Oryzias latipes: one gene and its partners. The protein of the gene in region 3 interacts with the protein of the main gene of each other region in a pairwise test. Links are inferred from orthologs where the notes say so. Each region holds a gene or a part of one and is shown on either strand. Other genes may lie near its edges. The genes, in order: gng4, bmf, tfip11, snx20, rrp7a, ccdc146 and sfr1.

Region 1 (4,096 bases), on a different chromosome or scaffold from region 3:
CACCATTGCTTCCTGATACGGGCGTCGCCATGTCGGAACCAGTCGACAGGGATTGGTCCAAGTCGCTTTGAGTCATCGTATCTATGGCAACTACTGTCGCCATTGCCATAGATAGGATGACTCAAAGCGACTTGGACCAATCCCTGTCGACTCAAAGCGACCAATTACTGTCGACTGGTTTCAACATGGTGGCGTCCGTTTCAGGAAGCAACTGTACTTCCCATTTGGAAACACGAGAAGGGAGGGGTTGGGCCGTGCATTGTTTTTACAGGCAATAGTTTGACCACTTTGGATCCACAGCAACACTTCCTGTCTAAGGCCGTCCCATGTGAGAGCGCTCACACACCTGTTCCGTTTTCTCATTGGCTTAAATGAAATCAAACGGACTCCCATCCGTCTGATTCAGAAAAACCAAACCAAGGAAACTTTTCAGGACTGGAAATCTGTCTTCAAGCAATCCAGCACATGTGAAGAAACCCATAGACATATGACCACTAGACCGATGACCTCTGATGTCATCTATACGATTCTAGATCACAGGAAGGAAGCCCAAAGCAGAAATCAATCCCAGTTGTGATTGGCCTGAGTCGACGTTTCTATGGCAACTAGTCTCTCCAATCAGGAGTGAGCTTGTTGGAAGGCCACACCCCTTCCACTTGAAAATCGGCTGCATGAAATCTGTCAGTCAAAGGTTTTGAACACTGGATGTGGGGGCCAGCAGGCTCCACCTACTTTTATTGAGGCGTCTGATTGTTCAGTTTTATAACTTGTAGCAGAGCAAGAATGGTCATTCTGACCAATAGCTGTTTATTTCTATTGGATTTTGGAGCCCGTGGGTACTTCCTGTTTGGAACGCCAGGGGGGAGGAGTCAGTTCCCTTTATGCAATTAAAGTCCAAAATAGGAACAAACTAATGTACAAGGTATTATATCCTGAGTGAAAAAAAGCAAAAAACTGGAAGAAGAATGCTGAAAAGCAGCAGAAAATGTCTGGTGTTGAACTTAAATGTGTGTGAAAGTCTCCATCCAGGTCCTGAAGATCTACCTCTACGCTCAGACTTCTGTCTGATCATCCGATGGTTCAAGATATGAGCAACTCCAACCGAGGGCCGCATGCCTGCATGTTTGCCAGCATGCTCTAATTGGCTGGACACACCTAAACCAGGTAATCAGTCATGAGTGCGGCTTGGTGATCATGGAGAAACGCCGGCCCTCGGGGCCCGGAGTTGCCCACCCCTATAGGGCAGAAAGATCTTCAACTTTTATATGTATGGTCAGCTTGGTGGCGGCAGAATTTCCCTGAAGCTCAAACATTTGGACAATTCATCCTTTCCTTTCACGAAAGACCAGCGTTGGCGTGACAGGATGAGGAGGAGGAGGAGGGGGCGTACCTTTATTCTGTCCATGCAGGCCTCCATCTTCAGCTGCTCCACGGCTTTCCTGGCGTGGGAGATGCTCGCCGTGCTGTTGTTGGCGATGCCGTCCTTCATGGTGGCCCCTGTGATGTCAAACAGCAGGCTCCGTAAACATCACACTGAACCTGAGAAAGTCAGGTAATGCCGCCCCCCCTCCCCTTCCACACAGAGCACAGCCATCTCTGCCACAACCCCTTTTATTTATAGAGCCCATTTTGTCTGGAGAAGCGGGTTTCCAGCGCCCACGCTCCATTTTATCTGAAGAAAGAGCTTAAGAGCTTTGAAGGCAGCAGCTGGACAGCAGTTTGACATTTTTCTCTCATGCATGACTGTTCTGCCCCCCCCCCCCCCCCCCCCTTCAGTGATCCGGGGCAGGAGCTGACGGGGGAGGGGGGGGGCACTGAAAAACAGGACTCAGGTGCATTTCCAAAGTCCATGGAGGTTCTATGGATTCTCCCTTTCTCCTCCAAAGAGCCTGTAGCTGCCTCCCTGCAGAGACCCTGCGATTCTTTCAGGCCCCCTTTTGACCCCCTCAGTCCTGATCTGCCCCACTTTGGCCAGAGGGGCCACCTGCCCGCAGATGTATTGTGTAACACCAGAGGTGGGCTGCTGCTGCTGCATCCCCCACAAAGGAGGGTTTGCTCCCGTTTCGTGGCATCAAATGGAGTAAAAATCGTTTGAATTTTTTTGGGAGCCCCCGTTCGTAGGATTTTCTGCTGGGGGTTTGAATCCCACCATCGCGGGAAGCCATCAGGCCTCCCTTCCACGCAGGTCTCCATTCCATCCGCGCGGCTTTTTTTCGGTTCCGCGCGCCTCCGTATCCAAACGCTAATTGTTGATCTGTCATTTAAAAAAAAAAAACAAAAAAAGAAAAACGAGGGGCTGCGGCCCTGATCCCCCCCCCTCCCCCCCAACCTCCGGGAAACGGACATTTCTCTTTCGTTTCACCGACACATCCGCAGATTTCTCGGGTGGGAGCGCGTGCGCGGCGCGCGCGGGTTTGGAGCCACCGACCTACCTGGAATGTGCCAACGGTTTTCCAATTTGGAGAATTCCGGATTGACTCCACCCAACGCACACGCACGCACGCAGGCACGCGCGCACGACCAGGGATGTGTCAAGAGATGAATCGATGGGAGGAAATCCCAGCCTCGCTCCTGCGCCGGACTCGACCCGCGAAGGTAAATCCTGCCTGGCGGTTTTTCTCCCCCCCCTCAGCGGTTCGTTGTGCGTGAGTCGTGCGTGATCCGTGTGGGAAGCGGAGACGCGCGCGGCGAAGTGAGCGCCACGGCTGGACCTGGAGAGATGTTACGCATGCAGCAGGGGGGGAAATCTCTGTGTGACGATGAGATGCAGGCTGTGGAGCAGAGATCACTCGATCACTGGGAGTCTCCGCTGTACGAGCCGGCCCCAAACGCACCACCTCCGCCTATTCATCCAATTAATCTGACAGTTAAACCTGCAGTTCACCAGAAATAGATAAATAAAAACTCACCACGACAAGTTTAGTAATATTTCTTCAAATATTTTATATCTATATATTTATATATTTATAATATCACATGGTTTTGTGCATAAACAAGCAAATATATATACATCAAAACCTAAGACAACCTCCTGCCCGCATGCCGATCTACAAAAACTGGTCTGGAGAAATCCGGGATCACAAGCAGGTCTTAAATTATGCACAGATAAGGTATAAACAGAAATAATAAAAACTTTCATCACATTTCCTGACAGAAAACTGGTGGAGGGATGAAGACCAGCAGGAGGTTGGAGTTGCACCCGTTCTCACAGAAACACAAAAACGTCACATTTTCTTTAGGTTCAGATCAGAAAAGGGACAAAACAAACTTTCTGAAAGAAATGAAAACGAGAAATGTTCCCTTTCTTATGAAACGATGGACGATCATTCACTACAGAGGGTTAAAACAAACAGAAGACAGAGGCGGGTTTACCCAGAAGACGGAGGGAAAACCATTTCTTTTAGTTTATTTGTCTCATTCAATAAAAACTTTAATTAAGACTACAATTATGGCTGTTTTGGGTTCATAAAAAGTGCAGTTTGATCCACAGAAACAGCCAAAGAGGAAGTGCGACTGGTTCCTCAGAGGAGTGGACCCTCATTGTGGGGGAGGGGGGGTTGAAGATTAGTGTTATTGATCTGAAGAAGCTTCGGAGTTAAAAGTTCAGTAAAACCGGAAAAGCAGGGGGGGGGGGGGTGGAGCTTCTGGATGCAGGTCGTGAGAGGAAATGTCACAGCTGGAGGGGGGCAGGGGGGCATACAAAACACAGAGGACAGAACCACGGGGTCCGATTCACGGTGCCCCCCCCCCGTGTGCGGTCGCTCCTGCGAGACACAAAGTGAAGCCGCGACACAGCCCCCCCACACACACACTCACAGAGCACGACCCCCCCCCCCCAGCAAGGAGCAGTGACAGACCCGGGTCCTCACACGCTTCGGGTCAGGGGTTAGCAGCTTCCCAGGAAACCAACAAAAAGACGACAGAGAGGTTTAGTGTAAAGTGTCTGCTGCAGCTTCATCCAAACTTTTTATAAATATAGATCTATGTACACATAACACTTTCATCACTGCTGATGCTGGGAAGGGCGGGTGGAGCTTGCTCAGCCGGGGGTGGCATTATTAGGAGTCAGGGCAGGTTCAGAGAGGCAGCGTCCTCC
Region 2 (4,300 bases), on a different chromosome or scaffold from region 3:
AAATTACATTCCAAATGAAACTAGTCTACATAGGAAGTGAGCATCTAACATAAAAGGGTTTCATCCGATTGGTCCAACGCATAAATGGATATATTTGATTTGCTAAATACTTCAAGCTGCCATAAGATTGTTTTAGCACATTTAAAGTAACAATTTGTTGCGATTATCGCCGTCTTTTCCGATATGCATATCGTGCAATATACATATCGGAAAAGATGGCGATCAAATTTATCGTTTTCGCGATATCAAGCTTGATATCGCGAATACGATAAATTTGGGATTTATTGTGCAGGCCTGGATACCAATTACTGATATTGATTACTGGTAATTTCTTATTTGTGATTTTTTTCCCCCCAAGCATATTATTTTTTATCTTAAAAACAAATACCACTGAAAACTGTCCAGATAACAACTTTAATATGCAAGGTTAAATAAATACATAACTGTTCTTTTTTTAAATAATGCACTTAAAGCAGTGCAATGATTAATTTCTCCTCCATGTTCAATTTTTAAACAAGTGGGACCTCTGTTAATTAAAAAAGACGCCATACCTTTGACCCTGATTGGTCAAAGTTCAACTGGTTTAACTTTCATCATGTGTTCAAATGCCAGGCATTTTGTAGATACAGCCCAAAAACAGACTTAAAATCTTGCATTGTTGAGTGTAAATGTTAGTTTTGAACATGGAAGCCCGAAACGCGCATATACGCACGTTTATGTAGACCTTTCAGTTGAAGAGGTTGCTTTTGTATGATGGTGTGAACAAAGCAGAAGATACACAACTCATGGTTCCTCTGGTCACGTGACTGATAGAGCAGCTTAATATGCTGTCTGCTGGGGGTGTCGCTCACCTAATAACCAAGCAAAATCTAGAAATGATAGATACACTTTTATTTTCTCATGTATTAATTAGTAATTGATAAATTAATAGAGTACTCAACACCCAAATTGCTAATATATGGGTATCTGTATTTTGACATCAATTCTCCCATAAGTTGGGAGGGACTTTTTTTCTAGAAACGCTTGTCTTCTTATAAAATAGACTTGTTTTTGAAATAAAAATTAAAAAGTTGTTCTAAAATAAAGTGGAAAAAACTTTAAAAGATGTAAATATGTTTGACTTAAAAAAAGAGTTAAATTTGTTTAACGTAGTTCAAAAAATAAAACACCGGGTTTTAAATAGTCAGTTCGGTTGAAAATAAAATAGAAGCTAAAAAAAAGATCAAGCTAAACCATATATGGCAGATTTGTCAAGCAAATAAAGCATTATGCCTCCACTGCTATGGTTAGAGACCAAGGCAGCGGAGGACAGACAGGCCTTCTAGCACATGAGCTGCGTAGTAGCGTGAAAGCGGTCTCGTGCTCCGGGGAATTTCCCGTCCACGTGTCTGAAAACACCGCGGCAGCGGCGGCATATAAACAAAGGCAGCCATTGGCTGGCGCGCGCGCACGTAAATCATCCTCTATTTACTAAAATTCAGCTCCCGCCCACTTGGCGGAGTCATCTCAGGCTGACGTCGGCGAAATCAGTCCGACCGTGGCAGCGCTCCTCGCAGAATGGAAGTAGTCGTTGAGGAATAAAGTCGTTTGACTTAGCAGGATTTTAAGACTTGGAGTCCTATTTTTTTTAGAAGTTTCTTTTATTTTATTGTTTAATTTTCGCCACATTTAACCCCAGAGTGCAGGACAAGTGTTTTAAACGCCGCCAGTCTTCTCGGTAAGAACAGCCTCCAAACGTTCAGCCGCTTTATTAGCTTTAACGAACTGAAGGGAAACTTGTTGTTGTTACTTGAAAAAGACGCAACACAGCTTTTTGTGGCGCTTGGAAGCGGCGCGCGCTTTCGCTGTGCTCTTCTGTCGTACAGTAAGATTTGAAAAACACCGGCTTTCCCGGCTGACACAGCACCAATGAAGTCAGCGCGGCCGGTCTCTGTCATGTGTCTGCACTTTGTTGTGTGACAGTCACCTTTTTCAACAGAAAACACTCCGTAAAGGCATATAAGCACGCAAATAACCGTTTATGACGACATTTCCGCCCTAAACTTTTGTTTGTAGCAGCAAACGTAATAGGTTGGTTTACTTTTTTTCTGTTTGTGTGTGTGAGTGACCCTATTAGGTTTCGATTCGGAATTAAATGCCCTCAACTGCACCTTTTGTCATAAGGCAACTTTTAGTTGTTGTTTTTTTTAATTGAAATTTTGATAACGAGAGCAATATTTATCAAGTTTGTGCCACTGATAGCTTAATGTTAGAATGAAGAGGGTGTCATGATGTTTATGGGCATAGAAGATGCATCTACCGTGGAGCTGTTGCTCCAAAACAAGCCCACTATAATTGACTTTTGTATTAAAATGCGCCCCCACCAGCAGGGGGAGCCACTGCATGACATAAAAATGTTTGTAGTCAAAATAGCAGAAAATATACATTTAAAGTATTTTGCTGTTATTATTATTATTATTTTTTTATATTTAAAAAAAAAGATAAAGTTAGACTTCCACGTGTTTGAGTCTTAGCAGACAGGAGCTGAGTGGAGTTTAAAAGAAAAGTTCAAAAGCTGTCAGGGAGAGTGGTAGGACTTTCCTCAGAAACTGTCATTCCCTCTTAGCTGTGATCCCTCATTTGGAAGCGTGATACCAGTGTGACCCTGTATTTACAACTCAGTGGTAACTTGGGTTTTGCTGCTGAGGCAAACATGAGTTTCACCCATGTTTTGATAACTTCTTGACACAGATTCAGGGAGTGAACTCCAGGATTCAGGGTGAACTCCAGGGCATCAGTGACTTTAAGAAATTGCTTTAGTTTTGTACTTTGTATACCCAGTTTTTGGATTAATGTTTTTCATTGAAATAGAGAAATAATATAAGAACTCAGTCATTCAGGGAAAAAAAGATAATTTTACGTTTTCTTTTACCAAGTTAACCAAGCTAGCTTCTATGTTACTGTGGCTTGATTGACTTCTAACCGCAGTGAATTGTGTGGTTTATTCACTGAGCTGAACAGACTCATTTGTTTAAATAAACGCTGAGCTCTTTACTTCCAGAGAAAGCAGAGCAGTCGTTTCATTTCCCCGTCCACCGTGGTTTCATTGATCGGAGCTCGCTCCATACAGGCCAGACAGGTTGTCTATAATGATAATGAGTGCCTCGGAGGAGAAAAAAAGAAGCAGATAATGAATGCGTCTGAGGTCATCTCTCCAGATCTGACGTAGATTTATTCAAGGTTTGTTAGAGAGAATGCCCTTGGTTTGTGGTGTTGCCCACAAATGCGCTCATTCTCTATTCGCCATATCGCTTTCAAGGTCACTCGTCTTGCAGTGCCCCCCCGTATGGACGATGAGGAAGACGATGTGTTCGAGCCGGACCCCAACAAGTGGCGCACGACAGCCAGGAAGATAAAGTGTGAAGACCGGGGCACGCAGACACCCGGTCCTGCCCTGGTACCAAACAACGGCATGCTTCTCTGTGGACTTGCAGAGGAGCCCAGACCACTTTTCTACGGTGAGGCTGATGACACACCGTCTTTCAAAAGCAAAAAAAGGGGAACATCGCCTGGTGTGTGATAACCAGTTATAAAACTCCGGCGCAGAGGCATAATGTGACACTTGATGTGATAAAAGCGCAACAGTGTTGCAGCCCTGAGCTCTCCCCTGGCGCCTGGGAGTCGTCATCAAACTCAGTTTTTTATGGCCATTGTGGCGTGTTACCAGCTGCTTTGCTATTCAGAAGGCGCCAGGCCGGCTTTGGGACAGGTGAGCACTGTGACAGCAGTGCAACAACTCCTCAGATAAATCATTATCAGTAGCAGCAAAGCTATGTTGGTGCCATATATGAGCAGTCATGCCGGAGTAGTTCCATAACAACTAACTGCTGAAGCCCTTTTGGGTGTCAGTGACCTATAAAACTATTATGTGCAATAAAACCACAGCTGGGGAAATTGTTTGTCAGCCGGGCAGCTTGTTTATCCAAAGAGACATTAGTCATCACTTGGAGTAAAAAAAATCTTGGTACCTGACATAAAGAGAGGTCTGTCAGGTTTCAGTTCTGTGTTTAGTTTAGTTTTTTCACCGAACACGTTGTTTACGAGATATTAAGTATCAGCTTTGACACTCAACAGGTAACGCAGGTTTTCGATTGCACTTCCCAGCACGCTTTGAGCTTGCTGGGGATCTTGAGGTGAGGCGGCACGACAGGGAAGCAGAGCGGCGCGGGATGGAGCGGCTTCCCCGGCAGCAGCCTGTGGCACGCAGCACGGAGGCCTGCATTGCACAGAAACTCCAGCTGATAGGGGACCAGTTTCACCG
Region 3 (4,071 bases):
TCCCCCCCACAGAAATAAAAGCGTAATAATTTAATTAGAATAATTAAAAAAAAAAAACCTTTAGAGGCTCCCATGAGTGAAGTTTCTCCTTAAGTAAAGGATGAACAACTGCCACAGCCAGGTCTGCCAATCCCATCATTTTATACTCTTCATAATAATCTGTTTGTAAAGTCTCAAAGATCTGGGCACACTCCTGGGCACAGAGAGGTGAGAAAATAAACAAATAAGTATGTTCAAAATGATTAAATGTTAGAAGAATGGAGATTAAAAACCATTAGGAACAAATAAACTGCAAGATAAGTACATCTAGTTTGGGTATTTTCATGTGCCACGTACCTGAAGAGTCGGTCCCTCCCCTGGTGGCGTCTCTCCAGAGGGAAAACGCTCCACCAGTGCCAAAACAGCCTCCATTTTCTGGATGGCATCTTGCTCTGCTTCTAGTCTGCTCTGCAACGCACGGGACTCATGACTCAGAGAAACGACCACGTCCTTTTCATGCTGTAGACGTCTGGCCGACTACAAAAGAATAAATAAAGAGAGCAGAAGAAAAAAATTAAATCTGGAAGCCCACTTGAAACGGGTTAATAGTTGAAAATGATTTGAAAGAATTTCAGATTTTCCTCTGACCTGTAAAATGTCCTGTTCTGTGAGGTCGATCAGCAGCTGAAGATTATGCTCAAGCTCAGGGAGAGCGAAGCCGGAACCCTTCTGATCCCGTGTGGACATGGCTGGTGGGGTTTCATCGGGAACACTGTGTTTGTTGGCTATCTGACTGTAACTGTAGTAAACCTTTGGCTCTCTTACAGTCATATCTATAACCTAAATTTGAAGAGAGATAAAAACAATTAATAAAAAGAAAACTTGAATCATTTTACTTCCATGGCCATAAAAATCTTTCAATTTATTTCAGTTTTATGCTGAAAGGAGGAAATGTAAAAAAAAAAAAAAAAACAAGTAGATGCTTGTGAAGCTCTTTAAAATATTAAAGTTTGTGGTTTTTTTCATTGTTCTGACCCGAAATTAAAAGGACATAACGCAGGATTTTAACGCACCTTAACCTGCGCCAACTCTCCTGCAGATGCTGCCATGTTCCGAGAAACCATTTTGCCTTTAGCCCTCAGCTCATCTGCAGTTCTGTATGAGTATTTTGGTTTCTTCTTGACTGCGGAGCCCGCAGGATCCTTTCGCCACTGACCCAATTCTTTTTGAAACTCCTACAACAACACACATTACAGGAGAAAAACAAGAAGATAATTTCACAGTTAGCCCTCAATTCTTCAGATACACAATCACTGTGAAAACAAGATTATATGGAGTAAAGAACTGCTCGTGGCAAAATCTCACCTTTTCCTCCTCTTCTTCAGAGTCAACCACAGGGAAGTCCTGCAGACTCTGCTGGGTTCTCTCATTGCCATATGCACCTACAGCTCCTTTACCTTTACGGACCTTTGCCTCAATAGGGTTTACAATACCTACATAAACAAAACAGAGGCATGGCAATAAAATCTCTATTATTTTCCCTCTGAAATGCATGCAAAAGCACAATCGTGTACAGTACTTTTCCTCCTTTACGCTGCCTACCTTGAGCATTTTTTCCAAGCCCCTTTCCAGGCTGGTAACCCATTTTCTGCAGAAGCTTCTGTCCAATTCCTTTTGTGTGCTTCTCCCAGGTTCCAATACCCTGTCCAGATTGTATTCCACCAGCAAACCTCTGGGACTGATTCCCACGAAAATTACTCTGACAAAACAAAGAAATTATAGACGTCAGTTTAAAAAGAAAGCTTTTTTAGATAAAATATGTTCTTAAGCGAAACTTTACCATCTGAAGTTTTCTAGGTGCAATTCCACGAGTAGGAGGGGGAACTGCAGGGGCATCCTCTTCCGAATCATCAGAACCTTCTTCTTTGTCTTGCTGTTTCTCCTCGGCTGCAGTTTTACGTAGACCGGCACTAACAAAATTCACTGGGGTGCTGTAATCTTTCGACCTAAAGAAAATGTACACTGTTAACATCCTCTGCAAAAATTTTCACATTTAGACATCAGAGCATCAAACCTGTGAATTACCTCTTGCCACCAAAGCTGGGTCTCTCATCTTCATCTGAATCTTTGTCAGCCCAGATCCCATAAGTGGCCTGCTCCTTGGTCTGCCTAAACCTGCGGCGTTCTGGGTTAAACTCATTGGCCAGATCCCAGTCTGTCACCTCGAAGCTTTCGATCTCCACACCTTCTTCCTCTTCTTCCCTCCGCCCGTAAAGATGGGACATCGACATTTCTAGATAGAGACCCAATACAAAAAAAAATCATAAAAGCCATACAATTGAAAAACATTCAAGTTGCTTAAAAAATCGTACAACAGCATGAAACCACAGTCAGCAATGATTGCTAACGCTAGCTAAGCACGAAGCTAGCCACAAAACTGTTTCGGTCACAAACAATTATCAACATAAATATCAACTGTATTGCACATTTGTATGATTGAAAGCGTAAAAATACATTAAGAAGTTTCAAGCAAAAAGGTATTAACTAACAGAACTCAGATATTAATAATGCAAATGATGAGATTTTTTAGCGAAATCTAGCTAACGATAGTTGGGACATTAAATCCCATTACGACTGCAGAAACATTTCGAACTTGGAAAGTAGAAAGGCACTTAATACAAACAAAGCTTACTTGACAAGAAATAGTTTATACACTTAGAGATTAATTAAAACTCATTCTTGGCTGTCTGTAGCAAGAAGAGGTTATCTGTGTAGCTTTTCGTTCAACGCACGAACGTGGAAATACTTCCGGGTAAAGTCTGTCCGTCAGTACTGACGAATAAATGTTGTGACCTTAAAACTTTGAGATTTTACTTATTTTTATTTGTTTGCATTTACTAAAGATTTGTGTTGGTTTTTATATAAATTTCTCTAAGTTAAAACAGCAACACCACACATTTAGGTTAATAAATTATGTGATAAAAGCTTTTATTTTGGCGTTACACCGGAAGACAAATGTGTTACACTTAAAACCGTCCTACGCGCTGCTGATTTTGTGGCGGAGGTGATTAGGGTGTTTGTTTTTTAATTATTATCACTGTTTTTTTTTCACCCCTAACATTTTATTATAGATCGTTGAATGATGGGAATGAGATAAAAAAAATGTCTGAAAGTGAGTGGCAGGTCGCTCGGCGTCGAAAAGGGCAAACAAGGAAGTTTAAATCTCATGTGCCTTTAAGTTCCACCAGCGTCCAAGAAGACCAGCTTGATGTCGAGAAAGTTGTCAGACGGATCAGGACCACTGTGTAAGAAATAAAATAAAAAAAACGGAAAACCACTCATAAACATAGTTCATTGTGCCTTATCGAGGGGAAAACTAATTCTGATATCTCATTCTTTACTCTCTGTCTCATAGGACTGAGTTGAGATGCGAAGAGTTTTGGCACAAATGGAAAGGTAAGTAAAACATAACCAAATTTTTTAGACATGTTTTTTTTATTTAGTGTGTAATTGAATTGTAACTCTTATGTTCCTCGTCCTCAGATGAGCTGCTGATGGCATCCACAGCATCAGCATCTGCAGAGAAGGACGTCACTGAGGAGCATCTGAAGAACACAGGTGATCAGCTGGAGTGTGTGTGTTATGGCCTTGGCTCCTTTTCTTCTTGCACTGCAGCCCGGTATCAGCTTGCCATGCTGCTTCTGCTGCTGGAAGTATTACAGGTCAGAAGAGAGCATTAGACTATGTTCTAACAAACATGTGTTATGTTTGTTTTGAGTTGCTCATTTAGTTTTTTTTCTCCTAAAGGTTTCCTTAAGGGATTGCTTGGTTTATGATCCCATATTCTCCTCTGGAGAGCAGGATGTCTTGAGGGAGCTGGGAATGACTGTACTCACAGAAAACGAGGTCATGTCAATTGTTTTTCTTTTTGCACTTCTAGAGAACAAACTGCTGATGTTATCACCGTAACTGAGATCTAAACAGACTAAAGTATCCGCTGTTTTATTTAGGAGGGGAAGCGTCTGGTGACCAAGCCCACTCTTTTTTATCTCATGCACTGTGGGAAGGCTCTGTACAACAACCTACTGTGGA
Region 4 (4,016 bases), on a different chromosome or scaffold from region 3:
AATCCGAGGCAGGTAAAGGTAAGCAGACCTCTGGGGAACAACTCAGCTGTGTGGGAACGAGAGGAGGAACATAGCAAAGATCTCAGGGGAGGAACTGCTGCTAATTATCAATCTATGCAAGTTAAAATCATCTCCAAGAGAGAAAGTGATAGAACCCAACAGCTGCACATCAAATTCTGCAGGCCTCCGTTAGCATGTTTTCGTGTTTGGTTCCACAGTGTAAAGACAAAAGTTCTGGAAGTTCCGAGGAGACTCACCACATGTTTGCCTAGAGACTGATGGACAATACGAGAAGACGGGATCTCAAACAGCAGCTGGGCGGGTCGCTCGCGGCGCTTTTCCAGTCGCAGGTTCTGCTGCAGTTCCCTTGTGGTTAAACTAGATAATTCACCTGACAAACACACACAAACACACACACACACGAAGATATGGATGATGGACCGCTTCATATTTACCGCATAAATATAAACACAAACTGTTGTTTTCTGCTGTTTTAATGCCCACAACAACTCTTAAATCTTAGAAACCCTAAGAGCAAAAAAAAAAGTTAGGCCTACTTTATCATCAGAGAGCTCTGAAAACTGCAGTACCACACACTGCGTGCAGACAGCACTAAAGATCCTAGAAAGAAACAATATTACATGGAGAAACTACTGCAGGGATTCAAGAACACGTCATGTAAAGAGTGGTTGAAGCTAGACTAAGAGGAGAAGTGAATATTTGTGAGCAGCAGTGTGGTTTCATGACAAGAAAGAGCATTACAGATGCAATGTTTGCTTAGAGGATGTTGATAGAGAAGTACAGAGAAGGCCTGACTGTGTCTTTGTAGATCTGGAGAAAGCATATGACAGGATGCCCAGAGAGGAACTGCGGTATGTTATGAGGAAGTCTGGAGTAACAGAGAAGAAGTTAGGAGTTGTTCATGACATGAATGAGGGATGTAAGACAGTGGTGAGGTGTTCTGTAGGGGTGACGGGGACAAGCTTAAAGAAAAAAATGAATTTCTCATATAAAACCAGGGATTGCCACAAGAGGGCAGCACAAGAACAGTGAAGTGGTATTGTCATCACACTACCCTTAACTGGTCACGTGACCAGAAGAAGAAACTGAACAGAAGAAACTGAACAGAAGAAACTGAGCAAAAAAAAAAACCCACCTCAACACCTCTTAACAACACGGTTCTTGATATCTCTCTGTACGAAAGAGAACTTCCTAAGTCAGTGAATGCAACAGTAGCAGCAAAAAGAATGCACCTCGTGGCTTTTCTAACCCTTGTGCTATCCTAGGCACTTTAACATTGGGAGTTGGGTCATCTAGACCCACTAGACAGTGCTCTGAACCTTTTTTCTTCAATGATTTGTGATCTTCACTGGTGTCCATGGATTAAATGAAATCTTTCCACCTTTATCCACCTTTGTCATGGTAGGGAGAACACTGTCTAGTGGGTCTAGATGACCCCACTCCCAATGTTAAAGTGCCTAGGATAGCACAAGGGTTAAGGCTGCTCTTGGGAGGGAGTAATGATGTCTGTCCACCAGCTGCCCACTCCCCGTCCATTAATGCGTAACAGTGAGGAAAGTTGTCAATTTTCACATCTATAACTTTTGCTCAAGCTATGCTTCAAGCACGGTTGGACGAGAGAAAAGAGAGCCTCTGATATTGATGAACTGGATATTCTTCCAATATAGGAAGTCTACTAGAGAATCCAGAGAGAGAGGAGCTGTGGTTCAGCTGAAGAAAGTTTGGAGTGACAGAGAAGAAGGTTGGAGTGGTTCAATCAGGACATGTGTGAGGGCTGTAAGACAGAGGTGAGATGTTCTGGAGGTGAAGCAGAGTAGTTGAAGGTGCAGGTGGGACTGTATTTAGAGGCAGACACTCTGATGCAGAGACAGGAAGCAGAGCTGGAGGAAGCAGAGATGAAGATGTTGAGGTTCTCTTTGGGACAGTCAGTTTTGGACAATCCATCAGAGGAACAGATCATGGTAGATGTTCTGGAGATAAATGCAGGGAAGCAGATGGAGATGGTTTGGACACGTTGAGAGGAGGAGCAGTGATGATGCTGGGAAAAGGATGCTGAGGTTGGAGGAGAGAGGAAGACCAAAGAGGAGGATCATGGAGGCAGAGAAGGAGGAGATGAGGGAGGTTGGTGTGAAGGAGGAGGATACAGAGGAGTCGGTTAGATGGAAGAGGTGAGCAACTCACAGACAAAGTGAAAGTGTTTATGTGTGTGTGCATATTTGTGTGTATATGTATTTGTGTGTGTGCACATACATACATCCACGTGTGTGTGTGATGATTGAGCTATAATACCTTACTTGTAAAAACTAATCCTGAAATTTGAAAATCTTCTTCTGCAAAAATTAAGGTCTAGGAACTACAAAGATGGAGGCTTGTGCATCTGTTGTGTGTCTGCGATGTCAGCTGGAGGCTTCAGCGTGTTCACGGGGAGTTTCTAAGATGCTTACATCTCTGAGAAGGAAGAAACAGAAACTCTCCCTTGAACAGAGGGAAATGAAAGGACGTACCTGGACCGAGCCAGTTGACCTTGGCCGGGTCTCCAACGCCCCCTGGAGGTTCTGCCATCAGGACCAAACCCAGAGAGGACGCACAAGTCAAGCGTTCTGCTGCATCCTGACTGAAGGGCTCCCAGTTTCAAGACTATATCTAGTTTATGAATTGAGCGTTCCCACAGAGCAGTAAGAATGTGACAGAAGAGTGGAGGAGGAAGTTATTGTACTCACTGAGACAGAAGGCAGAGGGGGAAGTGAAAGCAGCATGCCAGTAAACTGACAAACGTGTTTATAGCTGCAGCAGGTGGGTGGAGATTGCTGCAAGGCTGAGAGGGATGGGCCAGGCAGGGACTGACCCTGGAAGTGTGTTTGTGGGCAGGATCGGACACCTCAAGGCAGAACTGAACTGCTGATTCTTCTCTGACCCCCCTTCACCTTTTTAAGTTTCTGTTCTTCATGTGCTGGCCTCAGATTAGAGGTTGGGAGGTCCTCTGTGATTTCAGACTGTCTGTGTCCAGCTCTGCCTGGTCTTGGTATTTATATAAGACAGAGTTAGCTAATGTTGGTTTGGTTGTTTCAGACAAGGTGCTGAACTACTCCTGATTCTGGGGTTAGTGTCCCTTTTTTTCAGTTTTCAAAGAACACTGAGAACATTAAAAAGTGTGTCTTGAAGATGAGCCTTGTCATCTGGACTTTAAGTCTTCCTTCTTTCTTGAAGTCAAACTGATCAAGTTGTTTACTTTGGGCATTTCCTTAAGGGCTCACTACAGCGAATCAGCAACAGATTTTTTAGGCCAGATGCCCTTCCTGATACAACCCTGTTTTCCTGTGAGTTCATGCTTCTCAGTCAGACAAGAATTCAACCTGCTCTGGATGCTAGATGGACCAACAGAGAAGGTTCAAGTTCAAAGGGAGCAGAACCTACAACAGCCTGATGTTCTATAGGCCACTATTACAGAAACAGGTTAACCCTTGTGCTATCCTAGACACTTTGACGTTGGGAGTTGGGTCATCTAGACCCACTAGACAGTGCGCTCAACCTTTTTTCTTCAATGATTTGTGATCTTCACTAGTGTCCATGGATTACATGAAATCTTTCCACCTTTATCCAACTTTGTCATGGTAGGGAGAACACGTCAATGTAAGGGTGGGGTCATAGGATAGCACAAGGGTTAATCTATGAAGTTTCAGAGACAGAAACAAAGACAGCAGCTCCAGAGAATCATTTTATTGGTACATCTCAGGTCTGATTGACAGCAGAAAGTATTCATGGGTCACGTCACAGGAACACAACGTGACACAACAGAGCAAGGCGACCCAGCACACACTCAGAACTAAATAAAACACATAAGATGAAACCACTATGTGTCGTGATCATTGACTGTGAAAACAATGGACAGCTCAACCCTTCCCTTCTCATGTTTCCAAATAGGAAGTACCATTGCTTCCTGATACTGGCTCCGCCATGTTGAAACCAGTCGATCTAAGTCAATGTATCTATGGCAA
Region 5 (3,932 bases), on a different chromosome or scaffold from region 3:
TAAAATATCTTAAACTGGAATGACTGAAAAGACTAACATGAGATTTCAAATAAATCACTACAGAAACCTTTGTTTCTGTCAAATGACAGTAGTATCCAATTACTTAGTACTGCCTCTCTCTGTGATATTTGTATCTAAAAATACAAAACAAACAAAAAATACATATTACCTCTAAAACTAAACTTTATATTTATTTGTAGAATTTGGGTCAACTGAACCTTGAAATCTGAAGGAAAAAAAGTCTTAAGTTTCATAAATGAGATACTTCAGCTAGAAAGATGTTAGGTCTTATCTTCCAAAAAAATGCTTACGTTTTTTTTTTTTTTAAATATAACTATTTCTCAAATATAATTTTGTGGTAAACATCAAGTTGTATAAGCAAACACATTCCCATCTTTGACAAATGAGTGAATGGACATCCAGGGTTTCTGTGAAAGCAGTGCAGCCAAAGGTGATGATCCAAAACATCCCAGTCAGGTGAGTCCTGAAGCTGGGAAAAAAGCGTCCTTAGGGTTGTTTAACCCTTGTGCTATCTTAGATGACCCCACCCTTACATTGACGTGTTCTCCCTACCACGATAAAGGTGGAAGATTACATGTAATCCATGGACACCAGTGAAGATCACAAATCATTAAAGAAAAAAGGTTCAGAGCACTGTCTAGTGGGGTCTAGATGACCCAACTCCCAATGTTAAAGTGCCCAGGATAGCACAAGGGTTAATGTTTTAGAAAAAAACATTAAACAAATGTTCGGGAAACGGGGGAAGCAAAAAGGCAAATACGGATTTGCAAACAAAATATGATGGAATCACAGCAACATTTTAATTTGACATTCAAATTTTTCACACATACAAAGATTTACATAAACAAAGCATGTTATGGTTTTTCAATTCCTAATCAAAACTTTAACATTGGGAGTGGGGTCATCTAGACCCACTAGACCGTGCGCTGAACCTTTTTTATTCAATGATTTATGATCTTCACTGGTGTCCATGGATTACATGAAATCTTTCCACCTTTATCCATCTTTGTCATGGTAGGGAGAACACGTCAATGTAAGGGTGGGGTCATCTAAGATAGCACAAGGGTTAAACTACTGTTCATAGACTTTTGTCAGGGTCGGCTTTTAAATAAAGTTAGAAACGAAACTACTTCCGGTTTAGGCGTCACATCAAAAATGGCGCCCTCCAAGGCGAAACATGCCAGTGGCCAGCCTTGGGTTATTCCTGGAGGGTTTTCAGGTATGGTATAAGTTAAATTAAATGTGGATATCTAAAATTATTGTAAATAGAAATTAGAATATCCAGTAAATTTGAAGCTCTTGTCTGGGACGTTGGGACACTCGTTTGTTCGTTGTACTGATGGTTCTGCTTCTGCAGTCCTTTCCTTACAGTTCAGCTCCGGCAGCGCTGCTCGTCATTGTCTGTACGTGAAGGAGCACAAAGTGCGCACAGAGAAGAGTTCTCACAGACCTCTGGACAGGACTTTGTTTCTGCTCAACATTCCTCCGTACTGTTCAGAGGTGAGCCTCAAGAGAAAATAAAAAAATAACCGAGATGTCTTTCTTTGTCTTACACAGACTCAGCTGACAGAAAATTCACATCTGCAACTCAAATGTCTTTTAAAAAGAGTAAAGCGAATAAAGCCTTACATTATGCGGCTTATTCAGTCTGCTTGATCTTACTTTTTTGCAACCAAACAACCTGAAAATTAAAAAAAAAATCCCAGTTTATTACTTACCTTGGTTTCATTGAATACTCTTGGTTATTTTGTTGTGGTTTTATTTGTCTCTCTAACTTGTCCTATCCAGCAGCTGAGCAAACGGATATGAATCTTCTGACACACGAGGTGTATATTCGTATAAACCTCTTCTGTATTTGAGGCTAAACTGTTGGGTGGCGACATAACAAAAAGAAGAGGACAGAGTGGGACGTTAGAAATGGGGGATGAGGTTACAAACAAGGGGAGAGAGAAGTAGACGCAGTGGCAAAGCAACACATTGCTAGAGATTTATCATTACTGCCAGGTGTAGATGTTAGAACTAAACACTGGGCCCGTCCACAGACACACTGGAAAGTTACAAACATACCTGTTGGCTCCAAAGATCTTCACGCACAAACACGTAAATGCGTACACAGTACAGCTGCAGTTCACACGCACATGCTTATGGATACGAACCAACACGTGTCAAGCATATCATTCCATCCCGCATACTATTTGTGCAAAGGTGAGCTGACACTTATGCTCACCAGAAAGCCCATCCTGCCCCACGCTCCTGCCCAACCTATGGGAAGTCCAGTAGAGAGCAAGGCAGGGGGCAACCCCCCATCTGCCCAAGAAGAGGATGCCCAGGAGAAGTGGGGGTCCCCCATGTGTGCGGTAGACATGAGCCAACTAGGCTCCCCACCTCTCTCATTGATTCTTTATTGTGTTGTTTCAGGTTGTTGTGAAAGAATTATTCTCCCAGTTTGGCGGCATTGAATCGGTTGAGTTGAGGGATCACCCGGGTTCATCTCAGGAATCTGGACCCAAAATATCCAAACTCTTCAGACCAGCTGAGAAACAGGTTTGTGTTCCTGCACTCGTCTTTGTGATTTTCATTTACTTTGCTGTGCAATATCTGTGATATCAAGAGTCGCATATGGAGGAAGCAGTTTAGAAGCATCATTTTAACTTCCTTATTCAGATTTTAAATTTCTTTAGAATTTTAGGTCCAGCTTCTTAAAGTGTTTCCATAAGTAACAATAAATAAACCAAACTAATTAATAATAGATGCAGGGATGATTTGAATCTTTCCTCCATTTGTCCTTCAGCATCTTTGACTGTTAACATGATCACTTATTAACCTTCATCTCTTTTAGGGTTTCAAAGTCGGTTACATCGTCTTCAAGAACTCCTCAAGTTTGCAAGCAGTTAAGTCTTATCCCTTTGACGCCCCCTTGGTGGTCTCAACTGAGCAGCGTCCGGTGAAAACAGGCGTACAGAGTAAGTGATGCCTTTCAGTGCAGTCAGGAAAACAGCAAATCATTTGTTTGACTCGCTTGTTTGGTGCCTCTGCCCTTTACAGAATGGATTCAGCAGTATTCAGAGTCCTTCATCCAACCAGAAAAACTCCAGCAAAAAGTTGACAACTTTATGCAGAGCTACGACGAGCGTAAGGAAAAGGTGTGAATTCCTCCACTCCACTTTGGATTCAGGCACTCATTAATGTTCCTTCCACTGTAACACAGGCCTGTGGTTTTTTTTCTCAGGAAGCAGAGCAAAAGAAAGAAGAGGCTGAACGGCAACAAGAGGAAGAAGAAGGCTGGGTGAAAGTCACCAGAGGGCACAAGGGCGCTAAAGCTCGTCCTCACAGCGAGGCGGCCAACGAGAAAACTCTACAGAAAGAGAAAAGGAAGAAGAGGAGGAAGGAGCTCCTAAACTTCTACACCTGGCAACACAGAAACACACAGAAAGAGCGTAAGTTACTCAAGTTCAAATGTAACCTGGAGCTAAAATGTTCATCTGTATTTTTTTCTTACATTTACTGTATTCTCTTCTTTTACAGACATTGCTGAGCTGAGGAAGAAGTTTGAAGAGGACAAACAGAAAATAGCTCTACTGAGGGCGCAGAGAAAATTCAAACCTTACTGACTCTTTATGACGTCTTGTTTAAACCACACTGTTAATAAACAATTGATCCATAGATGTTTTTGTGATAATTCAATTATCATACTCCGTTTTTTCAAGTACTGGTAGTTTTGGGGGGAGAAAATATAGAAAATTATAGTTTCACAATCATTTGATGTAAGCATCAAAGTAGTTTAAAGGGCCTGTATCATATTTTTCTTAATTCTTTGTATATTCACATATATGATACCTTTGACACACTAAAGAATCCTTTTTTTTTTTAATGAAAGAATTTTCTTACCTGAAAGTTAGACGACTCGATCT
Region 6 (3,932 bases), on a different chromosome or scaffold from region 3:
TTCAACCACGACCAGAAGTTGTTTTCCACGCCGGACCTGGACAATGACATGTACCCCTCGGGAAACTGCGGCGCCTACTACAGCTCCGGCTGGTGGTTTGATGCCTGCATGTCGGCCAATCTGAATGGGAAATACTACCACAAGAGGTACAAAGGAGTCCGGAATGGGATCTTCTGGGGAACGTGGCACAACATGTCATCCGAGTACTACCCTACCAACTACAGGCAGGCCTTTAAAACTGTCAAGATGATGATACGGCCTAAAAACTATGCTCCTTAGGTGGATATGATAACATTTCTGACTTCAGTTTAAAAAATAAAAAGAAATTACGTTTGTACATGTTTCCACAGCAAAAGAAGCCAATAAAAGCAGTACCAACAAGGATTGTTAAAAATCATAATGTTTTAGGAGTTTTTCTACCGTAGCGAGGTTGGTTTTCACAATAAAAGAGAATGACCTGTGAACAAGGATGACAATAGGAAAATACACATGCAGTGTGAAAGGCCAGCCTCCCACAAAGGGCCATAATATCACACGTGAGGTTAACACGAGCAATTTGTCATCCATCTGTGACATTTCTACACTTGCTGCCTCCTGCTATAAACCCAGCTGAGTCGCGGCGCAGCACACTCCAGCGGTAAAAACTAATGACCTATCATTTTCTCCGCTGTAAATGACTCCATAATTAACAGCAACCACCCAAGTGAGGTATATGAGAGTGGATGATATGTTTTCTTCTTTTTTCGGGGATATGAAATGAATCCAGAAAAGACATCCTGCTGTGAACAGAGTCCAAATGTTACATTATTTTTTCATTGCAAGCTGATCACAAGTTAACATTCTGGTGCCACTAGCTTAAACTACAACAGAGACAGCTTGCCAATGGATTATCTTCCCAAACAATATAAAGCGTGCTGCCGGAAAAGATTCCCCCTGTGAGTGCTACACGCACTGTATTATTGATTCTCTAGAAAATTGTTCCTGACAGCAGCTACTGATCATGACATTAAACAGTTCCAAGTGTTTTTCTAACCTTATTCCGAGTTCGACTATCTCTACTGCACACCTCTTGATGTCATATAACATTCTTTATCTGTAGGCTAACTCACTGTTTGTACAATACTGCTACCTAATGTTTGAAAACTGTACAGCATCATACCATTTTTTTAAACACACTGTGGATGGCAAAGACAAGACAAGAGGATTCAATCTAAGGATGTGTACAGTATTTATTTTGTTTTTGAAAGGTTTTATAGTGCAAATGCAGTAAAGTCCAATTATTGATGGTACTGATGAAGACTGTATATAAACTGTCATCCTTCTTCACCACTCTTGGTTCACATGGATGTTTTCTACGATGCATTTCCATTTGTCATAACCAAAAATATGCACTTTTTATACGAGAGAAATTTAAGTTTTTTTTGTTTTTGTTTTTTCTTGCTGAATGGAGTTCAGTTTTTTTCGTAGTTTAAAGACTCCCTGATGCCTGATCAGCTTTTAGTCTTCTGCTATGAAAACAAAAAGTGTACATAAAAATGTAAGTTTAGCATGTGATATTTTAAAGTGTGTCCGGTCTAGTAGAGAAGCCTGTAAATAGGAAGGATGAGGTGCTGCATGCCCTTAACAGATAAGTGAATGAGATGTTTACTCAAAGAGCGACAGACATTATTGTTGGAAAGTTATTTTAATGTCTATTTACTGTCTGTACTGGTTACTTTAATAAAAAAAATAGTTGTGCTTGAAATTAAGCTGTTTTTTAAATATAAAAAAAAAGTTATTGGTCAGAATTTCCTTTGCATTTACAAATCAGAGTTAGACAAACGACTTCTCTGGCACATAATATGTCATTTAAAACGATTTTATATGTCTGTCACTGTTGAACAATCTGATTGAAAGTGACATGACTCCTTACCTCTTCAAGATATTGAAAAGCAGGACAGGCAGAGACAGCGACGTTGACAGAGGGCTGATCTTCCTGGAGAGATGGATGAGGTGGAGAAGTGTTCCCTTGTTCCTCCATGCCTGGAGGCTTATTATCTTGTTGATCCTCAAACAGAATCTCTAAGGGAAAGCAAACAACTCTATAAATCTACACATATGATTCAACAGAGAATGCACAACACATTACCAGAAATACTATTCTGTAGTAAAAAGGGGTCTATAGGAAGTATACTTGGTATATAAAAGTGAGGCAGTGTACTTGAAGTCTATTTTTCTATACTATCTATATACTGTAAACATGGAATGTTCCAATTTATTTTGTATTCAGAAGTATACATGGTGTAGTATACTTGCTATACTTACAGATATTTAGTAAAATAAACGTTGGGTGCACTACTTTTTGCTAAGAGATATCTGTGCTTAGTCACACGCACAATTTGTGTAGAAAAGCAGAGCAAAAATGGTTAATGATGAGTATAAATTTTAAGTTTGTTATGTGCATTGATTTGATCCGGACGGTTGGATATTTTTTCGGTTGAATTTTTGTTCAGGCACATTTACGAACGCCACGTTAGCTTGAAAAGAAAAAGTTGAGCACGAGCGTTTCGGTTTTGCATACTAAGCTAGTGGCTACCGATTTGAAACAAAAAAAAACAAAAAACAAAAAAACACGAAAGTAAAAGTTTAAAGGTTAATTTTGTTCGTTTATACTCACGCCTACAAGACTTTTCCGCTTCTCCGTTTGCTTGAAGTTCGACCTCAAACAACTTTTAAAAGAGTTGACGAGACAGGCACACGCAGGCAGAGATTTACCCTCTAGTTGTAGCGCGTTACCATGACAACGACGCTGCGCGTTGTCTAAAAAAGACATAAATAAATGAACAGAACCCTAATACGTGTAGCACGTTAGCCTAAAGGTTAAATTGTTAAATTGGAAACACTATATATATATATATATATACACACACACACACACACACACAGACATAAACAGTTCTTGTCAAAGTGTTATGTCCATATTGTTTATCAATTAACTGAGTTAGTAAATTGTAAAGTGCAAACCTATGCAAGAGGTTGCAAGGACATTAACTTTACTACATAAATGCAAAAATTCCCAACTAAAGAACCATAAATTAGGATCAACAAAAATGTGAGTTTTTAGACAGATATAGATTTAATTATTGCAGCTGTTTAAGGGTAACAATATGGTGAATTGATACTAAAGCCTTTTTTTTTAAATAGAACCAGTTGACTTTGTTCTGGTAAGATGTCTTAAAATAAAACACCAAAAGATTAAATTAAATCTTTAAACTTGCTATAAAGACTCATGTTTTGGTATATTGGTCTGCTAATCGGAATTATATCTTTAAATAAGTGCGTATTGGTCAGTAAAATAGTTTTATATCTTTAAAAATTAGGAGGTTTTACACAAAAGAACGTATTTTTACACAGTTTCCCCCAATTATATCTTATTTAAATGCTACAACAGCCCAAATCCTTATTTTTTAGAGCACAAACATGTTAAAATGACTCATTTTGAGATACATTTCTTTAAAAATTACACATAAATATGTGTTTATTTTCAAACTCTTGTTCTGCCATTGCTAAATATATTTGAACTGCTGTGAGTCAAAAGAAGTAAATCATATCATGAAACAAGACAGCTTACCATTCACAAATAAAACTTGAGTAAAATATTGTTTAAAAAATCAGTGCGTTTGCTAAAAATAAGATGTTTTTAAGATCAAAAGACTCAAGATATATTGTCCAAAAAGTGTTATGTCTTACTAAAAAGTTCTAAGTATGTTAGTTTTGTCTTGAATCAAGTATAATCAGATATTTACACAAGAAACCAGACCAAAATACTTTGTGTGATTTAGTTTTGTTGCAGTAAAGAAGATCCATAAAATGATGACTGATTGAAGTTGGTATGGAAGAACTTGACGGGCCTGCAGAGACCTGACTTACACTGATAGAATATATTTGGAATA
Region 7 (4,111 bases), on a different chromosome or scaffold from region 3:
GAAGGAATTAATAGCTGACCCAAAAATGGCTTAAGGATGTATAATGTTTAGTGGCCAGTCCTGCATTTGATGAAAGATCTGGCACTCTCATTATCTCACATGGCCTGGAGATTCTATAAACCCACAGCAGCTGCTGCATGCCACGGTTAATGCCGACTTCACAAAGCAAAAATTACACGCAAAAAACATTAACTTACACAAATAGCAATTACCCTTCCCTCAGTTGTCCTTACAAGGAGTATTAAAAAAAATCTCTTGTTCCCTGGGGTGTGTAATATCACACTGCCAAATGAGTTGCTAATGTTCGTGTCCGGGCACAACCACATTTGAAGGTATAACAGCTTTCTCCTCGTGGCTATAAAGGCTGACACACAATAAGAGAACCATCCCACATTTGTGAGAAGATTAAAATAGCTATAGACTTATAAAACCGATGAATCAGCTAATGAGGGAAGGTGAATCACAACATGAATCAACTCCAGATAACCACCACACAAAAAAATCTCTTTAACAATATTCTGAATTTTGGAGCAAAACACTCTTTCCCATTGCTATGGTAGTTGTTTTGCCTGACTTGATTATTAAACTACTTAAATTATAATTATTTAAATGTGTCTTATGTAAACACAAATAGTTTACCAACAATTTTTTAATTTTATTAAAAATATGTATTGATCAAATTTCATAAGAAGAAACAAGCTACTTAATCCCATGTGTGAAAAAACTTCCTTTGTGTTTTTTTATAAAAAAATGTTGTTTTCTCCATGAAGCAATTCATCAAAAAAAGAAAATTCTGTTCATTAACATATTTTTACAGGGCAATAGACATGACATTCAAATAAATAAATAAAAACTGTTCCTTCAAACTAACAATTTGTGCACACAAATTCGAATTTTTTTATTGCGTTCACACAAATTTGCATCTCGTGACCAAAATTTTGCTTTTTATTAACATTTTGTAGGCAAAAGTTACTGTTTTGTGAACACAAATAATTCAAATTACTGTACTAGCCAAATTTGTTGGCTTAGAAATTGTGTGTGCACAAATTAGCAGGCTATTATGTAGGCCTATGAATTAATTAGAATTTTGTGCCAACAAATAAGTATACTGTGGACACAGAATGCTTATAAATTACAAATTAATTGCCCAAAAAAATGCTAAATTGTGTGCACACAAAAAAATTTAAGGCCACATATTATTTTGTTTCTCTTTTTTTCATATTTTTTTTATATATATGTACATTTAAATATGATGTTTAAGTAAAATTATTCCATCTTAAAGCCAACAAGTTAAATGTGCGACTGCGTTTGAGGAATAACTTCATATCCCAGAATCCTCTTCGGCTAAACGTAATCAGTTTCTGTCCAATCATTGATCTTCAGGACTTAGAACCGCAAAAATACGGAAAAACAAGATCAACTGTGGTGTCATCGCCTCAGCTTAATTTTTCCACATGGAAATGTCTTTGATAAAAATTCAATATGGTTTATAATACTTTGTTATAGTGCCTCTAATTTTTTTCGTTCTTATTTCAGCCGAGTCAGATATATTGAGCGTTTTCTCAACTTTAAGCTAGGCTATTCTCGCAGCTAAACAGACTTTTCATGCTAAATCTGACGGATGGAAGTCACTCCAAAACACGAGTATTCATCACCCTGCTGCCCAGAAGAGTCGACCCCCTCGGGATACAGAGAAGAGAAAGTAGGTGACTGAATGGGATGTGTGGTGCACTACATACGACGTAGTGTTAGGTCCACCATGAAAGAAAAAGTCTAAAGAGACGCCGAGGGGAAAATTTTACGGCAATAAAGTTATGCAATTATGAGTAAAAAAAATAGCTCTTAAGTTGTAAATTTATGCTTCAAAAAGTCTACATCTTATAAGTAAAAAGTCACGCGTGTTGAAATTAAAATGTTACATTTTAGATTTTTTAAATCATGTCATAGCGAATTAATCGATTTTTTTTTGTAAATGTACAACTTTATTTTCGAAAAAGTACGACTTTTTCATGTAAATGTATAATTTTTTTAAATCATAATTTTACATATTTTTTAGTTATATAATGTAGATTTTTTTTTTCTAATATTTGTATGACTTTATTCTTGTAAAATGTTAACTTTTTTCTCTTTTTATGCTGGCCTTAATACTCCATCTGTGATTTTTTTTTCTTTTCCCCTCGTATCATCCTAGTGTTTTTCAAAGCTCAGCACTTCGCTGAGGGAAAGATTGAAAAGATCCAGACGCTCCTTTGTTTCTCCTGTCTCTGTGGCCAAACGCCTTTGTGTGGACGATGCAGAGGATGAAGGGCCACACATGTCAGCAGACTCCAAGGAGGCTGTCAGGCAGCCTGCAGAAATCCCACTCAATGACAACAAAAGGGAAGCCCAGTCAGGCAGTGAGCAGACGCCTGAAGCTTTTTTACAGCACCTCAGGAAAGAAGTCAAAGAAAAAACAGAGACTCTACGTCGACTCAAGATGGTAAAGATGTACAGAAGCAAGGTACCAGCCATTTTTCAAACATCTTCAGGGGATCACCGTTTTGCTTTGCCGTAACACTTTTCTGGTCTTTCCCCCTAGAATGATTTAACCCAGCTTCAAACTTTGATCGACAAGTGGAGGCGTTGCTCCCAGAACGCGCTGTATGAACTCCAGTCAGATGTCACTGTGGACGGACGAAGGGCGAATCTGTCTGAGCTTATAGACCTCTTTGGTTTGGACGATCACTTTCTGCACTTTGACCGCCCGGAGGAGGACTTCACTACTTAACATGTTTTTTTTTTTGTTTCTGTTTTTTTTTATTTTACGACTTAAGTACCAGCAGATTAAGTGGTTCTTAATCACTTTATTTGTTGCAGGTTCTTCACAGCAAAAGCACATTTAATGTACAGAGAACTTTTTGCTCAGTTAAGAAACAAAAAAAAATGTTTCACTCAGCTGTATTTCAGCTGATAGACTGAAGTGAAGTTCTTCTTCGTTAGACGTTCAACTTCCGCTAAAAGGACTGTCAGTTCCTCAGCCTGAGCTTTGACTAGAGCCTTCAAGTTGCTTTTCACAGCAAGCTCCAGGTGCCGCTCTTTGGCTTTTGCTTGCTCTTGTTCAGGGCCTAAACAACCAAAATAAAAGCAGATAAATATTTATGCTTGTCTGGGATGACGGAATCGGCGTTTGGCGAATGTTTGTCGATCAGAAACCAACCTGCAGCTTCAGAGACGTGTCTCAGCTGCGCCACGTCCACCCGTATGTCAGGAAGCTGCAGCTCCAGAGTAGAAGTCTTTTTGCTTTTCACGTCAGCTTGTTTATAAAGCTGCTCGATTTCCTTCACACACTGCTGGATGCACTGTTGATGAGCCTGAAAAAGTAAACAGAGTTGTTCATAAAAAAAGCATAAAAAGGCTGGTTTATCGTTGCTTTGTCACTTTTCATGTCACCTCCGTCATGAAAGCAAGGTTTTTCTCCAACATGGACGCTTTCTGTGAAATGCGAGTGCCTTGTTCTGACTCGCTGTAACGCTGGAAATAAAAAAAGAGAAACGCATTAATTAAAAACAGTGTTTCATACATTTTTGCTTCTCCCTTCTTCTCAAATGTTCAATAAAGGCTTTTGAAACACATGCAGCAAAGCTATTTGTCATGCAATGTAAAACCTCACTCTGCCTAGATCTATCTACATTCAAAATTTCTCTCATGGGGTTCAAACAATGTCAGGAAGGCGAACGCTGCACAGCTGCTGAGCTACCTGTACCTGCTGCCAAAGAAAACTGGCAATGCAGCCTGGAAACTTACCATTTTACCCTCTGGGTTGTTAAAAAATAAAGCCAAAAATTAGTTAGTTGGTCTGTTTTTGTGTTTGTCCTCAAACTTTCAAAACTATTTTTAACTTTTAGACTGTGTCCAAAAGCTACATATCGTCAAATAAATTGTCTTATATTTGATTAAACAAACCAATCTGTCAGATTTTGAAAAAATGATATAAAAGAAAGTGACATGCCTACTGAAAGAGGTTTAAGTTCAGCAAATGAAGGGGGAAAAAACCCTGAGTCAATTAAAAAGGGTGTGAGTCTCCTATAAAAGATCATTCATCTGCACTGGGAGATGGGAACAATTTTCTGTT

The links.
Region 1: the proteins of tfip11 (region 3) and gng4 interact in a two-hybrid assay, tested with the Homo sapiens proteins (2 studies listed by BioGRID and IntAct). The two-hybrid records come from large-scale screens. The link is inferred for Oryzias latipes from reciprocal best matches to the Homo sapiens genes TFIP11 and GNG4.
Region 2: the proteins of tfip11 (region 3) and bmf interact in binary tests that used the Homo sapiens proteins (3 or more experiments, as listed by UniProt). The two-hybrid records come from large-scale screens. The link is inferred for Oryzias latipes from reciprocal best matches to the Homo sapiens genes TFIP11 and BMF.
Region 4: the proteins of tfip11 (region 3) and snx20 interact in binary tests that used the Homo sapiens proteins (3 or more experiments, as listed by UniProt). The two-hybrid records come from large-scale screens. The link is inferred for Oryzias latipes from reciprocal best matches to the Homo sapiens genes TFIP11 and SNX20.
Region 5: the proteins of tfip11 (region 3) and rrp7a interact in binary tests that used the Homo sapiens proteins (3 or more experiments, as listed by UniProt). The link is inferred for Oryzias latipes from reciprocal best matches to the Homo sapiens genes TFIP11 and RRP7A.
Region 6: the proteins of tfip11 (region 3) and ccdc146 interact in binary tests that used the Homo sapiens proteins (3 or more experiments, as listed by UniProt). The two-hybrid records come from large-scale screens. The link is inferred for Oryzias latipes from reciprocal best matches to the Homo sapiens genes TFIP11 and CCDC146.
Region 7: the proteins of tfip11 (region 3) and sfr1 interact in binary tests that used the Homo sapiens proteins (3 or more experiments, as listed by UniProt). The two-hybrid records come from large-scale screens. The link is inferred for Oryzias latipes from reciprocal best matches to the Homo sapiens genes TFIP11 and SFR1.

The regions. Positions count from the first base shown.
Region 1 is NC_019873.2:28,283,543-28,287,638, forward strand, and holds the start of gng4 (guanine nucleotide-binding protein G(I)/G(S)/G(O) subunit gamma-4), read right to left. Parts: upstream 2,801-4,096; 5' UTR 2,433-2,800; intron 1,498-2,432; 5' UTR 1,490-1,497; coding exon 1,391-1,489; intron 1-1,390. UniProt on the Homo sapiens protein: Guanine nucleotide-binding proteins (G proteins) are involved as a modulator or transducer in various transmembrane signaling systems.
Region 2 is NC_019880.2:14,506,836-14,511,135, reverse strand, and holds the start of bmf (bcl-2-modifying factor), read left to right. Parts: upstream 1-1,500; 5' UTR 1,501-1,717; intron 1,718-3,040; 5' UTR 3,041-3,219; intron 3,220-3,298; 5' UTR 3,299-3,325; coding exon 3,326-3,497; intron 3,498-4,113; coding exon 4,114-4,300. UniProt on the Homo sapiens protein: May play a role in apoptosis. Isoform 1 seems to be the main initiator.
Region 3 is NC_019867.2:13,548,756-13,552,826, reverse strand, and holds the start of tfip11 (tuftelin-interacting protein 11), read right to left. Parts: upstream 2,801-4,071; 5' UTR 2,672-2,800; intron 2,273-2,671; 5' UTR 2,271-2,272; coding exon 2,065-2,270; intron 1,986-2,064; coding exon 1,820-1,985; intron 1,739-1,819; coding exon 1,582-1,738; intron 1,473-1,581; coding exon 1,345-1,472; intron 1,215-1,344; coding exon 1,053-1,214; intron 820-1,052; coding exon 628-819; intron 517-627; coding exon 337-516; intron 194-336; coding exon 59-193; intron 1-58. Other genes in the region: srrd (SRR1-like protein), read left to right, coding at 3,142-3,284, 3,395-3,435, 3,523-3,701, 3,787-3,885, 3,990-4,071. UniProt on the Homo sapiens protein: Involved in pre-mRNA splicing, specifically in spliceosome disassembly during late-stage splicing events. Intron turnover seems to proceed through reactions in two lariat-intron associated complexes termed Intron Large (IL) and Intron Small (IS).
Region 4 is NC_019864.2:5,678,299-5,682,314, reverse strand, and holds the start of snx20 (sorting nexin-20), read right to left. Parts: upstream 2,801-4,016; 5' UTR 2,584-2,800; coding exon 2,526-2,583; intron 392-2,525; coding exon 258-391; intron 1-257.
Region 5 is NC_019866.2:20,063,838-20,067,769, forward strand, and holds rrp7a (ribosomal RNA-processing protein 7 homolog A), read left to right. Parts: upstream 1-1,132; 5' UTR 1,133-1,176; coding exon 1,177-1,240; intron 1,241-1,378; coding exon 1,379-1,521; intron 1,522-2,439; coding exon 2,440-2,565; intron 2,566-2,860; coding exon 2,861-2,984; intron 2,985-3,066; coding exon 3,067-3,164; intron 3,165-3,250; coding exon 3,251-3,458; intron 3,459-3,546; coding exon 3,547-3,632; 3' UTR 3,633-3,684; downstream 3,685-3,932. UniProt on the Homo sapiens protein: Nucleolar protein that is involved in ribosomal RNA (rRNA) processing. Also plays a role in primary cilia resorption, and cell cycle progression in neurogenesis and neocortex development.
Region 6 is NC_019881.2:12,615,275-12,619,206, reverse strand, and holds the start of ccdc146 (coiled-coil domain-containing protein 146), read right to left. Parts: upstream 2,801-3,932; 5' UTR 2,657-2,800; intron 2,062-2,656; 5' UTR 2,021-2,061; coding exon 1,913-2,020; intron 1,744-1,912; exon of another isoform or gene 280-1,743; coding exon of another isoform or gene 1-279. Other genes in the region: fgl2 (fibroleukin), read left to right, coding at 1-279. UniProt on the Homo sapiens protein: Essential for sperm flagellum biogenesis and male fertility.
Region 7 is NC_019873.2:20,002,316-20,006,426, forward strand, and holds sfr1 (swi5-dependent recombination DNA repair protein 1 homolog), read left to right. Parts: upstream 1-1,366; 5' UTR 1,367-1,621; coding exon 1,622-1,702; intron 1,703-2,191; coding exon 2,192-2,500; intron 2,501-2,578; coding exon 2,579-2,767; 3' UTR 2,768-2,931; coding exon of another isoform or gene 2,932-3,104; 3' UTR 3,105-3,196; coding exon of another isoform or gene 3,197-3,350; 3' UTR 3,351-3,429; coding exon of another isoform or gene 3,430-3,510; 3' UTR 3,511-3,611; downstream 3,612-4,111. Other genes in the region: cfap43 (cilia- and flagella-associated protein 43), read right to left, coding at 2,932-3,104, 3,197-3,350, 3,430-3,510. UniProt on the Homo sapiens protein: Component of the SWI5-SFR1 complex, a complex required for double-strand break repair via homologous recombination. Acts as a transcriptional modulator for ESR1.